Linked DNA regions of Oryctolagus cuniculus. The main gene of each other region encodes a partner of the protein of the gene in region 3 in a complex. Links are inferred from orthologs where the notes say so. Each region holds a gene or a part of one and is shown on either strand. Other genes may lie near its edges.

Region 1 (2,978 bases), on a different chromosome or scaffold from region 3:
TATACCTGTCTCCTTGCCCAAGGAAGCAGTTGGCTACCTTCAGTATTTTTACTGTGAGCAAGGCATTGTTCTAAGTGGTAGTGTGTGGTAGTTCATTCGACTTACAGATCATGAACTTGACTGCTGGTGTTTGGCCCCTAGTTCCACTGCTTACTCGCAGGGGCAGTCTGCCTTCTTCCTTTGTATGCTACTGATATCATCACTTGTAAATGGGAATAATAACAGTTCTTACCTCTCATAAGGTAATTGGGAGATTAATTTAGTTAATGTATTTGTGAGCACTTAGATCAGTGCCTGGTGTACAGCAGTATTCAATAAATGTTACTATTATTCTTTTTTTTCTTAAAGATTTATTTATTTATTTGAAAAGCAGTTAGGGAAAGAGAGACAGACAGAGATCTTCCGTCCATTGGTTCATTCCCCCAAATGGCTGCAACAGCCAGCTACAGCTGTGCCAGACGTATGCCAGGAGCCAGGAGCTTCTTCCAGGTCTCCCACGTGGGTGCAGGGGCCCAAGGACTTGGGCCATCTGCTGCTGCTTTCCCAGGTGCATTAGCAGGGGCTGAATCAGAAGTGGAGCAGCCAGGATTCAAACCAGGGCCCATACAGGATGTCAGTGCTGCAGGCCTCTGGTTAACCTGCTGTGTTAAATGCTGGGCCCATTCTTGTTCTTTTTTTTTTTTTTCTTTTTAAGTCTATTTTATTTGAGAAGCAGAGAGAGACAAAAGAGGAGAGCTCCCATCTGCTGCTTCACTCCCCAAATGCTGGCATTGGCCAAAGTCAGAAGCTGGGAACTAAATCCAGGTCTCCCACATAGGTGGTAGGAACTCAGTTACTTTAGCTGTCACCACTGCCTCCCAGGGTCCGCACTAGCAGGAAGCTGGAGTCAGGATCTGGGAATCAAACCTGAGTACTTCCATATGGGAGGCAGGTGTCTGAACTCCTTGGCTGAACACCCACTTCTCTGTTATTTGTGTTCTTGTAAGGAAATACATCAGAGTTCATTTGGCAGTAGATTTAGCATTTAACAATCGAGTATTCAGAATTTGTCACTTTAATATTTTGGACGTAGGCATGGTCTCGTTTGACAATATTATGTTCATCGTCATCAAAATTCCTATTTGAGTAACTTCTCTATTAACTGAACACCAACCTAGAAACCATTGTAATAGTAGGTGATTTAAGTGCATGAAGTAGGGAAGCCTCAGGCTTTGATAACTCACCTGTTTGGATAAGAAACTTTACGGATAAGATGCTTAGGATACCTGTATTTTTGTTTAATGTCAGGACAAAGTGCTGTGTTAAATGGTCTGCAGCCTTTCCAACCTTCCTGAGTTTGCGTCTTTAAGATGGCCCTCATCTGTTATCTGCATCCACCTAACACCTACAGATTTTCTATCCATCTCTTGGGTTTATTTAAAACCAACACTGGAGCAAAGTAGGTTTTTAAATGGTGGATGAAGGGCGTCTCTCACTGGCTTGCCTGGCTCCGCTCAGTTAGCCAGATCTGGCTTAGAGACATTCAGAGATAAAATCATTACAGTTTCTGGTCTCTGTTGTTTCCTCTTCGGCAATTTTGCGCAATAAACATCTAATCATCTCTCCATACTCTTTCTAAATAATGATTGGGTGCCCCATAAGACTCAAACTTTGGCTTAATCCTTTGGCAATTTGAACAGTTTTGAAATTTAAATAAGTAAACAAGCAAACCCGGTTCCTGGTATCTTTCTGTCCTCCTGCTGTCTGGCCCAAGTGCCAGCTTCCTAGGTTGCCTGATCTGTGATATCTGCAGGGTTATCTGTGAAACTGCAGGTCCCAGATCCGCCACAGTGTGCCAGGGCCTGCTTCCGGGACCTCTGGGCTTCATGATGCGCTGGTCCATAGCTTCCAGGAGAGCGCCTAGTGACACACTGGGGCCTTGTGGGGCTGCTAGGCGGTTAAGCTGGCCGGTGGAGAGAAAAGAAAAAAAATCAGGTCGCTGTCAGTGATGGATTCTCCTTCTTGTCCTTCCCAGGTGAACCTTTTTCACAAGAGGAAATGGAAGAAATGTTGGCAGCTACGATTGATCCAGAAACAAATGCAATTCATTACAAGGACTATATAACAACCATGATGATAGATGACAGTTAAATGTTCTGAAGACTTCACTTCTAATTGAAAGGACAATTTAAAAAATTGTTTGTCCTTGTTAATTTCACATTTTAGCCAGTAATTCCTATAGCTGATTAAATATCTTATGATAGAACTATTTCAAGATTTTTAAAAAAGATTGTCATAATAATTTAAAACATCTTTTTGCTGTGCCTTGCCTATGGAATGATCAATTGTGAATTATTTAAAAACTATTCTGAAAACATCAAAATAGATTCTTATTTTTGACAATAAAATCCATGTTATCTTCAAATTAATTAAACTGACAAAATAAAGAATGTCTGTAATGACCTAAGGTTTGGCATATAAAGATCTGGAGAAAGGATGGGTGACCAAAAATTCAAAATGAGTAGCAAATGATGCAGGCTTCCTTTTTAAACAATTAACACTTGAACAATCAATGTGGAAGGAGAATTACTGAAATTATTATTAATTTCTTATGAGTGTCAATTACTCAATCTCATTTGAGATTACAATCCCCTATTTTATAAAATTTAATTTGCGGATTACCATAGTCTGGATCTTAGCTTTAAGGTTGACTATCTCCAAAAGGCCCATATGTAAAAGGTTTGGTCCCCAAAGTCATAAGTTAATGGTATTAGGAGGGTGCAGACTTGTACCAGTTATGGTGTTTAGGAGGTAGGCCTAATGGGAGATCCTTAGATCGCTGGAGGTGTGTCTCACAAGGTAGTTCTTGCTAGTAGGTTGGCCATAAAAGCCTGAGTTGGGCCCAGCCTCTCTCTCTCTCTGCTTGCTGCCTCACCGTGTGATCCTAGCTCTGTCCTTGCCATCCATCACCCTCATCAGAACCAAGCCAATGGAGCTCC
Region 2 (3,749 bases), on a different chromosome or scaffold from region 3:
TCAGAACAGAGGTGTCCCCACGGAAGCCACTCCTTTATGACAAAAGGCCACAGCCCACGGTTCAGCTGAGTTCTCCTTCAGGATATTTTATTTCTGGGGTCTCAGAGGGTCCCAGAGCCCAGAGGCTGGCAGCTTCAAAGATCCAGGGGGTTGAGTCCAAGCTGGCGCAGCTGCTCCTTGTGTCTGGCGTGGAGTCGCAGTGCGGCCTCGTCCCACTGGGGCTGGGTGGCCCTCAGCTTGGCCAGGAGCCGGTCCAGGCTGCCCTGCGGATACCAAGCTCCCAGTCCCCAGGAAGAGAGGGCGGCTGCCTTGTGAGCTCTCCCTGCCAGCATTCTTCCTGGTCTAAGGGAGTGGGCACCGTGGAACTCCCTCTGCCTGTGCTAGGGACAGAGCAGGGGTCCCTTGGAGTCCCTTTCTTCTCTTCCCCCCGGGTTGTCAGTCATCACCCTGTGGGGCTCGTGGAGGTGGCGGGGTGCTCACGTGTAAGATGTCCTCGTACTTGGCTTCCATGCTGGCCACGTGGGCCCGAAGCTGAGCCAAGGTGTGGTCCCGCTCTCCGAGGGCCCTCGCTGCCTCCCCCTGTGCAGCCACAGCCTCCCTCTGGCAAGTCTCTGGGGAGCAGAGCAGAGGATGGGAGAGGACAGGACGGTGAATTTGGTGCTTGCACAGTCTCCAAAGGCACCTGAAAAGGAGGCTCTGAGTGTGTTCATTTCAGACTCCGCCCAGGTCAGCGACCTCCTCATAGTCCCTGCAAAGAGCTGAAGGTCCATTGAGGTTTATGAGTAGTGAGCTTGGAGAGGAGCTGGGGGCTAAGTCTGGTTGTCACTGTTCGTGTAAGCTCACGCATGTCTCCCTAAACCCCAGTTTCTTCTTTATTTGAGAGGCATCTGTGGGCACTTGCACACACACACACACACACACACACACACACACACACACACACACCATGGCTCCTCTCTGCTGGTTCACTCCCCAAATGCTTGCAACTGAAGTCAGGAACTTAATCCATGTGTCTGACGTGAGTGGCAGGAATCCAACTACTTGAGCCATCAGCTGCTGCCTCCTGGGGTGCACAGTAGCAGGAGTGGAGCTGTGACTCAAACCTTGGAGCTTCAAAATGACATGTGGGCCACCCAGTCAGCATCTTAATTGCTACACCAAACACCTACCCCAGTTTCTTCATCTTAAAGGGCAAATGAGGGGCCAGAGTTGTGGTGTGGTGGGTTAAGCCACCACTGTGACACTGGCGTCCCACACCAGGGTGCCAGTTTGAGTCCCAGCTGTCCCACTTCTGATCCAGCTCCCCGCTAACGCACCTGGGAAGGCAGAAGAAGATGGCCCAGGTGCTTGGGCCCTTGGAAAACTTGGATGGAGTTCCTGGCTCCTGGCTTCAGCCAGTCCCAGTCCTGGCTGTTGTAGCCATTTGGGAAGTGAACCAGTGGATGGAAGAACTCTCCTTTCTGTCTTTCAAATAAATAATTTTTTATATTGAGAGAGAGAGAGAAGGAAGAGAAGAGAGAGAAGAGAAGAGAAGAGAAGAGAAGAGAAGAGAAGAGAAGAGAAGAGAAGAGAGAAAGAGAAAGAGAGAAAGAGAAAGAGAAAGAGAGAAAGAGAAAGAGAAAGAGAAAGAGGTCTTCCATCCTCTGGTTCACTTCCCCAATGGCTGCAACAGCCAGGACTGGGCCAAGAAGCAAGAGGGAAGAGAAGCAAAGGCTTCCTGGCTTTTATATTTTTGCTTATATAGAGAGTTTATCCACTTATTTAGGAAAAAGGATCTACCAGGTGGTAGGCCTTAGAGATATAGAAGTTAAGAAGCCTAACATTTTCCCTTAGTTTCATTGTAAAAATTAGCTAACCTGAGAAGGGAGATGAAGAATATTTCAGAAAGTTAGAAGGAAATATGACTGGAAATAATGGCCAGCATTATGGTGCTGTGGATTAAGGCACCACTTGTAATACCCACATCCCACATGGGAGCATTGGCTCAAGTCCTGGTTCTTCCACCTTTGGTCCAACTTCCTGCTAATGTGTCTGGGAAGGTTTTGGAAGATGGCCCGTGTACTTGGGCCCCTGCCACCCATGTGGGAGACCAGATGAAATTCTAGGCTCCTGGTTTTGGCCTGGCCCAGCACAGGCCATTGCAGCCATTTGGGGAGTGAACCAGCAGATGGAAGATCTCTGTGTCTCTGTTTCTCTTTCTCTCTCTGTAACTCTGCCTTTCAAATAAATAAATAAATCTTTTAAAAAATGCATAGATTTTCAATGTTTCTTGCACCTAAGCTTATCCTGTAATTCCATTTTTCCATGAGTATTTTGATGTGCTCTGATATGCCCTGGAGAGACGTGGCAGTGGCAGGGAGTGAGGTGACAGCTGGGTCTGGAGATTCCAGGCAAGGGGGGATAGGGCGAGGTGTGCCTCTTCCTTACTTTGCCCTAAAGGGTCTTTTTTTATTTTTATTTTTATTTTTATTGTTATTTTTTGACAGGCAGAGTTAGACAGTGACAGAGAGAGAGAGACAGAGAGAAAGGTCTTCCTCCCGTTGGTTCACCCCCGAAAAGGCTGCTACGGCCTGTGCGCTGCGCGGATCCGAAGCCAGGAGCAGGGTACTTCCTCCTGGTCTCCCATGTGGGTGCATGGCCCAAGGACCTGGGCCATCTTCCACTGCCTTCCTGGGCCGCAGCAGGGAGCTGGACTGGAAAAGGTGCAACCGGGACTAGAACCCGGGGTGCCAGCGCCCCAGGCGGAGGATTAGCCTAGTGAGCTGCATGCTGTCCTCACCTCTGCCTGATCCTCACTGCGGGAGCCAAGGTTGGGGGAGGGGAAGACGATGGCAGCCTTCTAGGAGAAGACCTAAGTTTGCCCCCGCACTGAACCTGGATCTTGTCAGCCTCCCTTGGAGAGGAAAGGCCCAGGGCAGGGCGGGGCACCTACCCAGCTGCTTGCGGAGACCCCTCACTTCCTCCTCCAGCTGCTTGCTGCGTCTCTCCATCTGCTCCTGCAGGGCCCTGCACCGGCGACTCATCTCTGGAGGGAGGACGGTGGACGGCCAGGGATGGAGGAGGGATGGAGAAAGGCAAGGAGTTGGGGGCGGGAAGGAACTGTGTGGTCCAGGAGACAGGAGCCCAAGGAACTGCTCAGTTCCTGTGATCCTGGGATGCTGGGAGACCCTGGACACCTGGGGAAAGGGAAGGACACCAGGCCGCCTCCCCACTCCGGCTTAGGATCAGGGCCCCAGCCCATCTGCCCGCTCACTGCTGCTGAGTGAATGAAACAGTGGCTGGGACTGCGTCCTGTGTCCCCCAGTGCAGCTGGCACTGACACTGGCCCCAGGCACCCTGGAAGGTCCCTGCCTGCGAGCCCAGAGGCCTCCTTGCATCCACCAGGAGTTGCCTGCTTTGTGCTACGCAGGGAAGGCTGAGACCGGGCCCGGCAGTCAGAAGCCCCTCTTATCTTCTCCCAGGCCCTTGTGTCCTGCCCAGCTGCTGAACCGACCACGCACCTGCATATACGGCCTTCCCCTCGCTGCGGGCCTCTTCCAGTTCAGCCTCCAACTCTTGCAACCTCTGCTTCAGCCTTTCTTCAGAAGCCTTGGCTCGACGGGCCCCTTCCCCCTGTAGAGCTGCGAGCGGTCCCGGAGCCCTGCTCAGAGCCTGCTGAGGGCCGCTGAATCAGCCCCAGAGGGCTGGATGGCCTTTCCTGTCTCTAGAAATCCGGTGGTAGCTGGAACAGGTGCTGTGGTATAGTGAGT
Region 3 (3,649 bases):
TTTCCCAGGCCACAGCAGAGAGCTGGATCAGAAGAAAAACAGCCAGGACACACACCTGCGCCCATATGAGATGCCAGTGCCACAGACGGAGGCTTAGCCCACTACGCCACAGCACTGGCCACCGTCATGATCGTTTAATCATTCTGAAATGACCATCTTTAGCTCTAATAATATTTCTGTGCTGATATCTATTTTTTCTGATATTAATATAGCCACCCTAGATTTATTTTTGCATGTGTGTGTTATTGTCCTTTTAATCCACTGCCTCACTTCTGAGCCAACTCCCTGCAATGTGCTTGGGAAGGGAGCAGAGCATGGCCCAAGTGCTTGGGCCCCTGCCACCCATGTGGGAGACCAAGATGGCATTCTAGGTTCTTGGCTTCGGCCTGGCTCAGCCCTGGACATCTGGGAAGTGTGCAATAGAGAGCCAAAAGGCCAGGATCTCTGGGAAACCGGCCTGGCCAGAAACAGAGGACCCGGGAAAATGAGGAGCGTGGGGACATGGCACCTGCCTGTCCAAGTTCAAGTCCAGCTGGCTTGATTTCTCCTCCTCCTCAGATTGGAGGCGCCTTGCCATGGGCAAGACCCCGGGGGTCTGGCTCACCAGGCACCTGGCCCCCATCACAGTGGCTGGGACGCCATGGAGAAGCCCCTTCTGCTCTGGGACTGCATTCCCCTGTGCAAGGGCCTGGGGCGCCCCCTGTGGGAGACGGCGGGAGCAGACACGGGACTGCTCTGGTGCAGTCCGTGTAGAAGTATGAAGTTGGGAGAAAGATGAACTTCTGCCTTCAGCAAAGAAAGGCACCCCCTACGCCCCTGGCCCCTCCTTGTGCCTGGAGCCTAGGTGCTCTCGTCCCTCAGCGACCTCACAGGGTGTGGGAAAGAACACTCAGCAGGGGTGTCGGAGAGTTGCTGGCTCTCCACTGGATGTGAGCCATTTTACAGGTGAGCAAACTGAGGCCTGAGGAAGTGAAATGACTGCTTCCACGCAACAGGGTCAGGGCAGAGCCAAGAGTGCCCTGCCCAGAGCCCAGGCTTGTGACTGCTAGGGTCCCGTGTCCCAGGAGACCGTGGCCTCCTTCCACGCCAGTGCCTGGCAAAGGAGATGAGTGACAGGGGTCCCGGATGCCGGATGCTGCGGGACGAAGGCGGGAGTGAGATCGGAAGGGCAGGACCGCGTCAGCAAGTGAGGGCATGGAGGACGGCATCAGGACGCTGGCTGGCACCCTTCGTGCCACCTGAGCCTCGGAATGGCTCCTTTCTTCCTTCAAAGCCACTGGAAGTAGCTTTAGGGGGAGGGGAGGCTGGTGAGGTATCCATAGAGACTGCCCGGTGTGGACACACCCTGGGCCATAGGCTGCAGCCCGTCCAGTCGGTTCTGCTTTATGTTAAGGACTTTTATTTACTTAAAAGGCAGGGAAACAGGAGACCATGATCTTCCCTCTGCTGGTTCACTCCCCAGATGCCCAGGCGGCGGGGGCTGGGGACTCCATCCAGGTCTCCCGTGTGGGTAGCAGAGACCCTTGTACGTGAGCCATCACCTGCTGCCTCCCAGGGTGCACATTATCAGGACGCTGGCATCTGAAGCAGAGCCAGGTCTCAAGCTCAGTGGCTGTGATAAGATACAAGCATCTGGGGCTGGGACTATGGCATAGTGGGTTAAAGCCGCTGCCTGCAGTGCCAGCATCCCATGTGGGCGCTGGTTCTAGTCCTGGCTGCTCCTCTTTAGATTCAGCTCTCGGCTGTAGCCTGGGAAAGCAGTAGAAGATGGCCCAAGTCCTTGGGCCCCTGCACCCACATGGGAGACCTGGAGGAAGCTCCTGGCTTTGGATTGGCACAGCTCCAGCCATTGCAGCCCTCTGGGGACTGAACCAGCAGATGGAAGACCTCTCTGTCTCTGTCTCTACCTCTCTTTCAAATAAAATAAAAAATGCAAACATCCCAAGCGACATCCTACTCTCTGCACCAGCACCTGCCCCGCTTATGCTTCTGCCACAGAGATAGAGTTTTAAGTGAAAGGAGCAAAGGACAATGTCTCACCACTAGTCGCTACATAAAAGTGACCACTGAAAGCAATGCAGACATCTGAATGACCAGGATCCTCTCCACTAAGCTTCAGCCGCCCCAAGCCCTGTTTCAGCTGTGAGGGGTCTCGCCCCCATCCCCCACCCCTCCCCCTCCGAGAGCAGGATTAGGGTACACCCCGGTGGGCAGTTGTCCTTTACCTTGGATCTCCCTGGCAGCACAATTTGGTGTGGAGGGGGAGGGGCCTGCCCTGGGGGCAGCTGGGAACTGCTGAGGCTCCTGTGGCCCTGGCCTCAGGTGGGCTGGGTGAGGGGAAGGTGGAGGATACCCGAGCCATGCCAGGGAGGAGAGATCCCCACCTGGCCAGCTTCCATATGTGCCCCCTCTGGGGCTCCCTGCTTCCTGCACGAGCTGGGGCTGGGTGAGCGCGTGTGCAGGCCTGGCCCAGCCGGAGAGTTCCCTGGGCTCTCCCAGGGAGCAGTTGGGGTCTTCTTCACCGGGGACTGGTTATGGGAGGGGGTTCCTGCCCCCTCCCCGCTGAGAGGAGGAGGATGCTGACGGTCTGCCTCCCTGAGCCCAGGCCCACGGCCCTGCCTCCCCACGGAGCGAGTGGGGGTGTGAGCGGCTGAGGGGCGCACTCAGAACTCCCCCACCCTTTCAGGACCTGGTCTTTGACCTGGGAGACCCTGTGAGGTGGGAATACATGGTCTTGGGCACCGACAAGCCCCACCTGTCCTTGACCGAGGATGATGACTCCGGAGTGAACGATGATGATGACGTGGAAAACCTGGTAAGTCCCCGTGGCCCACAGGTGGGGAGCGCATGGGAGGCCTTGCCCCTGTCCCACTCCCAGCAGCCTGATGGCCACCTTACTAGCAGGTGCGTCTATGCAGAGGTAGACCAGTAGGCCGGTTATAGGCTCCTCTAAGCAGATAGACAAACTGAGGCCTACACAGGCCCAGTGACCAGCCCGGGACCTCCCACCCATTCAGGGGTGGCCCTGCTCCTTTGGGAATGGAGACATAAAAGCCCTCTGCACAAGCCCCAGGGCCGGCCGTTCCTCGGTGCCCACCCATTGCCACGCCTTTCCTGTCTGTCCTAGGAGGTCTTCCAAAGGTCGTTGACCAGAACCTTCCCCGGGTCAGCAGGGGCCTTCCTGGCAGGTCCGCGTGAGGGCCTGTGGGTGGTGGTCACAGGCCTTAGTTACAGCTCTGAGGTCTTGGGCAGCCTCAGGGTTGTTTCCAGTATGTAAAATGGGGGAGGGGCTCCTGGTCGAGCTCACGGCGGCAATGACAGGTCTAGGCCTGCTCTCAGGACATCCCACCAGTGGAGTGGTTCAACAGCAGACAGTCATGATCTCACCGTTCTGCAAGCCAGAGGTCAAGGTGTTGGTAGGACCAGGGCCCGAGCCCGCCTTCTCCCTGGGCCCTCACCCAGCCTCCCCTCTGAGTCCCCGTCCCAACCCCCGCTGCTTATAAGGACAGCAGTCAAGCTGGGTTAGGGCTGCTCCACAACCACTTTAGCTTCAGTGCCTCTTTAAAGACATCGTTCCCATCCCGAGGTCCCGGACTGAGCCCAGGCCGCGCGCACAGGGCTCTCCCTGAGTACCAGGCTCTGGTGCAGG

The links. The genes of interacting proteins can lie anywhere in the genome.
Region 1: DRC7 (region 3) and EFCAB2 share a complex: the UniProt entries of both Homo sapiens proteins name them as parts of the nexin-dynein regulatory complex. The link is inferred for Oryctolagus cuniculus from reciprocal best matches to the Homo sapiens genes DRC7 and DRC8.
Region 2: DRC7 (region 3) and DRC12 share a complex: the UniProt entries of both Homo sapiens proteins name them as parts of the nexin-dynein regulatory complex. The link is inferred for Oryctolagus cuniculus from reciprocal best matches to the Homo sapiens genes DRC7 and DRC12.

Annotation. Positions count from the first base shown.
Region 1 is NC_091444.1:65,095,738-65,098,715, forward strand, and holds the end of EFCAB2 (dynein regulatory complex protein 8), read left to right. Parts: intron 1-2,014; coding exon 2,015-2,130; 3' UTR 2,131-2,446; downstream 2,447-2,978. UniProt on the Homo sapiens protein: Component of the nexin-dynein regulatory complex (N-DRC), a key regulator of ciliary/flagellar motility which maintains the alignment and integrity of the distal axoneme and regulates microtubule sliding in motile axonemes.
Region 2 is NC_091432.1:111,116,900-111,120,648, reverse strand, and holds the end of DRC12 (dynein regulatory complex protein 12), read right to left. Parts: intron 3,621-3,749; coding exon 3,501-3,620; intron 3,026-3,500; coding exon 2,933-3,025; intron 612-2,932; coding exon 481-611; intron 264-480; coding exon 135-263; 3' UTR 67-134; downstream 1-66. UniProt on the Homo sapiens protein: Component of the nexin-dynein regulatory complex (N-DRC), a key regulator of ciliary/flagellar motility which maintains the alignment and integrity of the distal axoneme and regulates microtubule sliding in motile axonemes.
Region 3 is NC_091449.1:41,191,785-41,195,433, forward strand, and holds part of DRC7 (dynein regulatory complex subunit 7), read left to right. Parts: intron 1-2,686; coding exon 2,687-2,815; intron 2,816-3,649. UniProt on the Homo sapiens protein: Component of the nexin-dynein regulatory complex (N-DRC) a key regulator of ciliary/flagellar motility which maintains the alignment and integrity of the distal axoneme and regulates microtubule sliding in motile axonemes.